Linked DNA regions of Daphnia pulex. The protein of the gene in region 2 interacts with the protein of the main gene of each other region in a pairwise test. Links are inferred from orthologs where the notes say so. Each region holds a gene or a part of one and is shown on either strand. Other genes may lie near its edges.

What was found.
Region 1: the proteins of syntaxin-16-like (region 2) and alpha-soluble NSF attachment protein-like interact in a two-hybrid assay, tested with the Drosophila melanogaster proteins (2 studies listed by BioGRID). The link is inferred for Daphnia pulex from reciprocal best matches to the Drosophila melanogaster genes Syx16 and alphaSnap.

Annotation. Positions count from the first base shown.
Region 1 is NC_060021.1:555,238-559,446, forward strand, and holds alpha-soluble NSF attachment protein-like, read left to right. Parts: upstream 1-1,594; 5' UTR 1,595-1,731; intron 1,732-1,798; 5' UTR 1,799-1,809; coding exon 1,810-1,904; intron 1,905-1,964; coding exon 1,965-2,161; intron 2,162-2,226; coding exon 2,227-2,391; intron 2,392-2,444; coding exon 2,445-2,692; intron 2,693-2,783; coding exon 2,784-2,960; 3' UTR 2,961-3,567; downstream 3,568-4,209. UniProt on the Drosophila melanogaster protein: Required for vesicular transport between the endoplasmic reticulum and the Golgi apparatus. Also between the endosome and phagosome.
Region 2 is NC_060020.1:4,603,985-4,607,867, forward strand, and holds syntaxin-16-like, read left to right. Parts: upstream 1-1,451; 5' UTR 1,452-1,702; coding exon 1,703-1,783; intron 1,784-1,841; coding exon 1,842-2,090; intron 2,091-2,153; coding exon 2,154-2,322; intron 2,323-2,599; coding exon 2,600-2,826; intron 2,827-2,909; coding exon 2,910-3,119; 3' UTR 3,120-3,197; downstream 3,198-3,883. Other genes in the region: oxidative stress-induced growth inhibitor 1-like, read right to left, coding at 3,839-3,883.

The DNA.
Region 1 (4,209 bases), on a different chromosome or scaffold from region 2:
GTCTTTTTCTGTGGTCACAATGGCCAGTCCTTTTCAAATGCATTACCGGATACGGATAGTCCGGATTCCGGAAGTAGGCCTACCTAAAAAAAGAGCTCGTCAGCTGTTGAGCCGACATCAAATTCGACCATTAGAATACTGTTTCTAAAATAATTGAAAATTTCTAAAAATTTATTCCACCTCACTGCCGACGCCGGACTACCTTTTGGCCTTTTTCTTGCTTTTTATAAACGAAATCGGGATACTTTATTCATCAAATTAACAGACGTAACAAAATGGTCCGTTATCACTATAAAATTACAAGAACTTTAAATTACTCCAAATGAACCTGCATTTGAAATTTTCTTGATTAGGCATTGATTTACACATGAAAAAAAGCCTAAAACTAAAATTTCTTTATTTGTTTAACAAGCGATCCACGAATCAAGTAGACCAAAATCCCGGAGCGGCTTTCCTGATCTAAATCCGGAAAAGGCATTAAAAATCTAAAAAAAATATAGCCATGTTCGTCTTCGCACGCCGGATTTACCTGCGTTTGCAGAATGACGATTTTCCCCCCCGTTTAGGAGTTATTTAGCTCTAAAGTTTGATTTTTTTGAATTTTGTCAGAAAGTGGGGGGGCTTTGACATCCATTTTGGAAAAAGTGGGGGAGCTAGGGAAAAAACTAATTTTTTGAAAAGGTTTATTGCATACTCAACCACCGAAATCCAAAAGGAATTTCCTTTCCGGATTTTATTGGTTGAGATATTACCAATTTAGTGAAAAGATAATTTAGCTGGTTTCCCTCCCTGGCTTGCAGCCATTTTTTCGTACGGTCCGCTGCGCTCCTGGTGGAAGCCAGCAGAAGGTCTTATACATCGGCCTATAAGAAACCTGGGTTCACTATATATGAAGGCCTGTATAAATGCAATGGGTCTAATGTGAAGGCCGATATATAAGACCTTTTGCTGGCTTCCACCAGGAGCGCAGCGGACCGTACGAAAAAATGGCTGCAAGCCAGGGAGGGAAACCAGCTAAATTATCTTTTCACTAAATTGGTAATATCTCAACCAATAAAATCCGGAAAGGAAATTCCTTTTGGATTTCGGTGGTTGAGTATGCAATAAACCTTTTCAAAAAATTAGTTTTTTCCCTAGCTCCCCCACTTTTTCCAAAATGGATGTCAAAGCCCCCCCACTTTCTGACAAAATTCAAAAAATCAAACTTTAGAGCTAAATAACTCCTAAACGGGGGGGAAAATCGTCATTCTGCAAACGCAGGTAAATCCGGCGTGCGAAGACGAACATGGCTATATTTTTTTTAGATTTTTAATGCCTTTTCCGGATTTAGATCAGGAAAGCCGCTCCGGGATTTTGGTCTACTTGATTCGTGGATCGCTTGTTAATACCAAAGTCCGGTTGTCAAAAATTCCATCAATCGGTGAAAATGGCGTGGTTCAATAGCGTTATGAAGTGAAGATGGCATTTGTAAGGAATCGAATTTAATTTTTTTTTTTTTTTTTAATTGGTCCGACTTCTGACAGTTTTACCGCTTTTACTGTATTAGGAGACGCCACTTTACCTATGTTGCGTTGTTGCCTTTACTATGTTGTCAGCAGGTGGCAGCACGTACTGACCAGTAAAGGACTAAACAATACTAGTTCGCCGGCCTTTGTTATGCAGAATGTCATGATCGATATACGTAATATTGTCTGACAAGAGAAGTGCAGCTGTATTCATTTGTTGCAAAATGTACGTTTATTTAACGTCTTATCATTCACATTTGTTATGTACACGCAAATAATTTTACTTACTTTAGAGTAATCCACAATGGCCGACAACGAGCAAAAAGCAGCCCAACTAATCGCCGAGGCTGAAAAGAAATTGAACTCGGGAAAGAGCTTTTTTGGTTCTCTATTTGGAGGGTAATTCATTCCAGTATGTTGCATTATCCTCCCATTCTGATTATTGAATTATTTGTGTAGAGGATCATCCAAAGTTGATGAGGCTATAGAATGCTACCAACGAGCAGCAAACTTGTATAAAATGGCAAAAAAATGGTCTCAAGCTGGTCAAGCCTTTTGTGAGGCAGCAGCTCTACATCTTAAAGCTGCTGGACGTCATGATGCAGCCACCAATTACATTGACGCAGGCAACTGTTATAAGAAATCTGAGCCCAATGGTAAACATTACATGTTATATTCTATTTTTATCTAATATCAACTAATATTTTTCTAAATTCAATAGAGGCTGTTGCTTGCCTCCTCAAAGCTATTGAAATATATACTGATATGGGAAGGTTTTCTATTGCTGCCAAACACCATCAAACCATTGCAGAGATTTACGAAACAGAATTGGCTGATCTCGAAAGAGCTGTGCAACATTATGAACAAGCAGCTGATTATTTCAAAGGTAGTAGAGTTTTTATTTTTTTAAACATTTTAATTAAAATATTGTATTCACAGGTGAGGAAAGTAATAGCTCTGCCAACAAATGCCTTTTGAAAGTGGCTCAGTATGCAGCCCAGTTGGAAAACTATCAAAAGGCGATTCAGATTTATGAGCAAGTTGCATCAGCTTCTCTGGATAATTCACTGTTGAAGTACAGTGCTAAAGAGTACTTCTTCCGGGCTGCCCTTTGCCACTTGTGCATTGATTTGTTGAATGCCCAACATGCTGCCCAGCAATATGAGAACATGTATCCAGCTTTTCAGGTATGCCATTTATTTCTGATCAACACAATGTTGATTTTCAATAACAGTTTGGATGACCTCAATTAAATAATAACTTCATTTGTTTTTATAGGATTCCCGAGAATGCAAGCTGATCAAGGCACTCATTGGTCACATGGAAGAACACAATGTAGACGGATTCACCGAAACGGTCAAGGATTATGACTCCATTTCACGGCTTGATCAATGGTACACTACAATGCTTTTGAGGATCAAGAAGCAGATGGCTGAAACACCTGACTTGTGTTAAGTCAGAAGATCCAAAACCACTCGACGATCGGAAACCTATAGGATATCGTAGCTTTTTTTGCTGGTTTATGGCACACCCTTTAATCTTGCGCATGTACACATTAGAAGCTCCCCCATACACGATTATTCTGTTGTAATATCTTTCGATTGTCTAGTTCCATACGTTTTTAGCATGATCGCGAAGTGTACTATTCTATACATTTTTCATTCCACATTAATTCTTTTGCTCTCTGTCTTACACTGTTCATTATTATTTTTTTCAAATTCGTTCTTGTCCATTGTTCTCTTACGTTACAGTGTACAGTATATGTTCATCGTTGGACTTCACTCGGTTTTTTTTCCTAATTTGGTATTTACTATATACTCCGCGATATAGTTGTTCTTTTCACCTTATATTGTCTTTATAGAGGTTGATCTTTCAACTGCAAAATGTGTTAAAAGAAAAGGCAAATTCGTTTAATTATTCGTAGATGAATAGGCAAAAAATTTCGGTACTGTTACTTTTCTTCCCTTTTTCTTGCTGTCGGATAAATTGTATGCCTCAACCAAATTTGTATTTGTGTGTATCAATGTTTGTAGTTCAGAGAAATCCAACGTGGTGAAGTTTACCTTTGCGGTTTTTTTTTGGCTAAAGTTATAAATTAGTATAGTTCTTTTAACATTTAAAATCCTTGCAGTCCTGTAACAGATTTTTAAAAGAATTAAGAATTCAAAGTTTTATTGTGTGTTGTCAAAATATAGGCTCATAAAAGCTTGATTAATGCTACAGATTTTCGATTTTACGAACATATTGCAGTATCTTTTTATCTTTCCAAAATGACAAATGTTCGCAAAGCCGTACCCTATTGAAAGATGGCGCAAGCGTCAAGGTAACTTCACTAGGGTTTTGTGGGATTAATGAACCAGAAATGGACATATTGCGAAAAAACAACTTACAAGTTTTTGGTATTTCGGTCAAGTGTTGATTCCAATTCCGTGTTGTACTAAATCGTACACAATAGCTATACATAGTAGTGCTATATTTAAAAACTAGTAGAAAAGGAATGCAGTATAGGAAGTATACTCGTATGACTGTGCTAAGTCGATTGAAAAGTAACAATTTGGCAGTTTCAGATGAAAGAGGAGACGATGAACCTTGCGTTCAAATTTTATTTTATAATTCATTTCTATTATTATTTGTGCACGGAACACAGAAGAGAATGTGTAGTACAGTACATAATGCCCCAAAGTTCAGAAGGGCCGAGCGGACT
Region 2 (3,883 bases):
GAAAAGCAACAGCATTAACGAACGACTGAATGGTCCATTATTAAATGTACGAACAATATCAACACCCGAATCTGCATGAACAACTCAACCCACCGTTCACCAGCTAGATGCACCCAAGTCTTTCTGCACATTGGACTGCCATCAAGAGGCTCAGAGCCTCAGAAGAGGTTGTAAACTTGTAATCCTACTTGGAGAAAAAAAGTCCTTATCAGAAAATACGTCATTTGTATGCTTTACATTTGTGACATCAACAAAATGACAGCAGCTTGGTTCAACTAGGCACTTTTTTGGAATTACTTTTAAGTTGCAAAGGAATCTACAATTAGCATCCTTAGAACAGTTTTAACTGAGAAGTCAACAGATACAAAGCAAAAAAACTATATAGCCTTACCGTAGAAAAGCTGATCAACTTGATTAATTTTATTTGCTCTGAAGTATTTTTGCATGTGAAGAGAGCTGCAAACTGTACAGGTATCAATCAAGCCAGCAAGAAGAACACCTTTCGCCAGCTGGCTGCAACAAACCCATGAGCACATTGGGCTGAGAGGCTCAGACCTGAAGAGGCTGTATTCCTATTAGGAGAAAAATCAATTGCTATCAGAAAATAAAGTCATGTGTGACATGAACAAAATGACAGAAGCATGGTTTAGCTAAGTAATCTCTAGGAATTACTGTTACATTACACAGGAATCAACAATTGGCATACTTTTAAAATGTTTTTAACCTTTAAGTCAACAGATTTCAAGCAAAAAAACTACATGTTAACTAGTAAATGAGTATCCTTACCGTAAAAAGCAGATCAACTTTATTATTTTAAACTCTTCTGAAGTGTTGCTGCATGTGACGAAAGCTACAAGCTGTACAGGTAGCAAACAAACCTGCAAGTAAAGAAAACCACCTGCCAGCTGTCTGCAACAGCAACAACTTCGTGTGCATGTGGGACTGAGAGGCTCAGACCTTAAAAGGCTGTATTCCTACTTGGAGAAAAAATCCCTAAACACACTGAAATATTTAGCCACCTGGTGACAGCCCTAAGCATCCACGGACGACGGGAGTCAATACATGCTCACTGTAGCCTACACCTGCGTCTGCGTTATAATTACGGATTGCACTAACACTAAGTCTATAATGATTAAACATTTAAACCCTACATCGTAATCTACTGTATGCAAAAATAGTGATGCCGTATTGGTATAATAAACTTTGTAATGTTCACTTTACTATAAGCAATGGCATACCATAGCAATTACTTTAACCATTACATAGCTGTCTGGCATTTGCGTTAGCATTACTACTTCTTTACTCTCACATAAAAAATTTTCATGAAATGTGCTAGGAATGGCTTAATAGTTAATACTATGGTGAATATTAATGAATTGTTTGAAACTAAAAAAAAAAAAAAAAAAACACGCGCTCTTTTACTTCCATCTAGTGGCTGCTGATGACACCAAAACTTTTCTTCATACTAAATGTGCCACGAAATGTCAAAATCAGCTGTACAAGGATCGAGTCCATCGATTTAAAATTGTCAAAATCAAAATCTGGCATTTAAAAAATAAAGTTTCAGTGCAATATCTATTATCCAAATCAATGTTTTCAATTGTGATGTGTACGATTTAGATTTTTCTTGTGAAAATTTAGATCACGTACATCTTAATATCGATGATTCAACCCCAATATCGACTGAAAGTTCACATAGAAAATGGCAACACGAAGTATCACTGAAATTTTCATTCTGATGCGTAACAATGCTATTCAAAGTCGCAATTTTTACTCTGAACAAGTGAGTGACTCATTTTGACTTTTGAAATTACTGGTAATTGGTAATGGTTTGCTTTTAGAGCATATCAGACACGGATTCCTTGGTCCGTCATGAAATAGATGTTCACGGCAAGAGTCATGCCACTCATGTAAGGATTCCTCCAGAATGGACAGACAGCTTAGAAGAGGCTCAGTACACCTTGACAAAAATTCAAACTCGACTAAAAGAGTTGAGCTCTCTTCAAAACAAACATCTTCTTAAGCCCACATTTGATGACTCGATGAATGAAGAGCAGCAGATTGATGCCTTTACTCAAGACATAACCAAAGTATTACAGATTAGAATTAATTAAATTGTTTAAAACTTCAATCCTTCTTTGTTTATTCTGAAGATGTTTACCACCTGCCACAATTGCATAAAAAGGATTCAGTACAATAGTACTAGTCCTAGTCTGGGGCAGGCAGAAGCAAATCTTGCCAAAAATGTGGTCACATCTTTGGTAACAACATTACAAAATCTATCAAACACCTTCAGGAGTGACCAGAATGCATATCTGAACAGTTCAGTTCTTATTCATTTATTTCTTTTACAAAGTATAGCACATTCCAGTCACAGTCAAAGCCAGTCACAGCACTTTTATCATGTCAATATTACTTATTCTAAGTGATAAGTAATCATTACTCATCAGTCATCTTCATTTCTTTATCACACAAGAATGTAGTTTCAAATCTCTGATTTGTATTTTGTTGCACCTAGATAATAGTTTAAAAATCAATTAACCAATTCGTAACAAAAATGTAAATTCATGTATATACTTATTTGCCCACTGCCCAACAGAAATTAAATCACGCGAGGAACGTTCTCAACAATTTTTTGGTGGAACTTCCTCCAAGGATTGGAATTATGATGACTGGACCAATACTAGCAGCCAAACCGAAACTCCGCGAGTGATGAGCCAGCAGCAATTGATGTTGCAGGAAGAAAATTCGTCTTTCGTTGAACAGCGCGAGAAGGAAATTCAAAATGTGGTCCGTTCGATATACGAACTGAATTCGATATTTAAAGTAATTTCTTTGACACTTTGAAGCATTGCAACATTATTTCATTATGGTGTAACTTATTTTTGTTCATTTTCTTAAATCTGCAGGAAATCTCTCACATGGTCGCGGATCAAGGTACCGTTTTGGATAGAATAGACTACAATATTGAGCATACACAAGCTAAAGTTCACGACGGTTTGGTTCATCTGCAAAAAGCTGATAATTATCAAAAGAAAAATCGGAAGATGGTATGCATTGTCGGTTTGGTTTCCACCATCATCCTTCTAATCATTATTTTAATTGCTGTTAAATCTTGAGTAAATAGAAAATCTAATTTCTGTTCAAGTTTTCCATGTGTGTATTGAACTGCTGGAAATGTACGTGTTTAAATGCTGCATAGTATATGTTTTACAAGTTCAAAACACTTGAATTTTCTAAGGTGTTGTAACTTTAATATGAAGTGTACATTTTCAATTACAGTCGCAATATTAGCTACCCCTCTCGTCACCAACTAGGGCCAAAAACACATTGGTCGTCCTTAGTATTGACATGCAAAAACAAATTACAGAACGTTAAAACCGCTCTTGTTTCGCACCCCTAAAGCTATAGTCCTGGAAACAATCAAATTCCTTTTGGAAATGTTTTCAGTAAGGACACGCGTAACGTATAGCACCGTAACGATGCCATTTAAGACATAAGCTCTACTTATCAGCAGTAAATTCATAAAGAAAATCAACAATAGATATTCAAATTTCTCAACGAAAGCTTCTTAAAAAATGAGAGTAGTAGAAAACGAAGTTTAGAGAGAGGAGAAGGCACAACGAAGACTAGCAGAGCACTCGTTGAAGTGGAGGTGTAATAGGGTGGTGATTCGGACTTATTTCTCAAAGATGAAAACCGTGTTTCGTGATATTTACAATAGATTGTATCAATAACCGCTGATACAAATGAGGGGACTAAAAGCGCCTTTGATTCGCAAAAGTTCAATATTAGGAACGCTTTTAATACCCCCGGTAAAACTAAATGGCGATCAACGTCACGCCGGGCAATCAAGGTAGTTGACGGATTCTTGAGGGACATG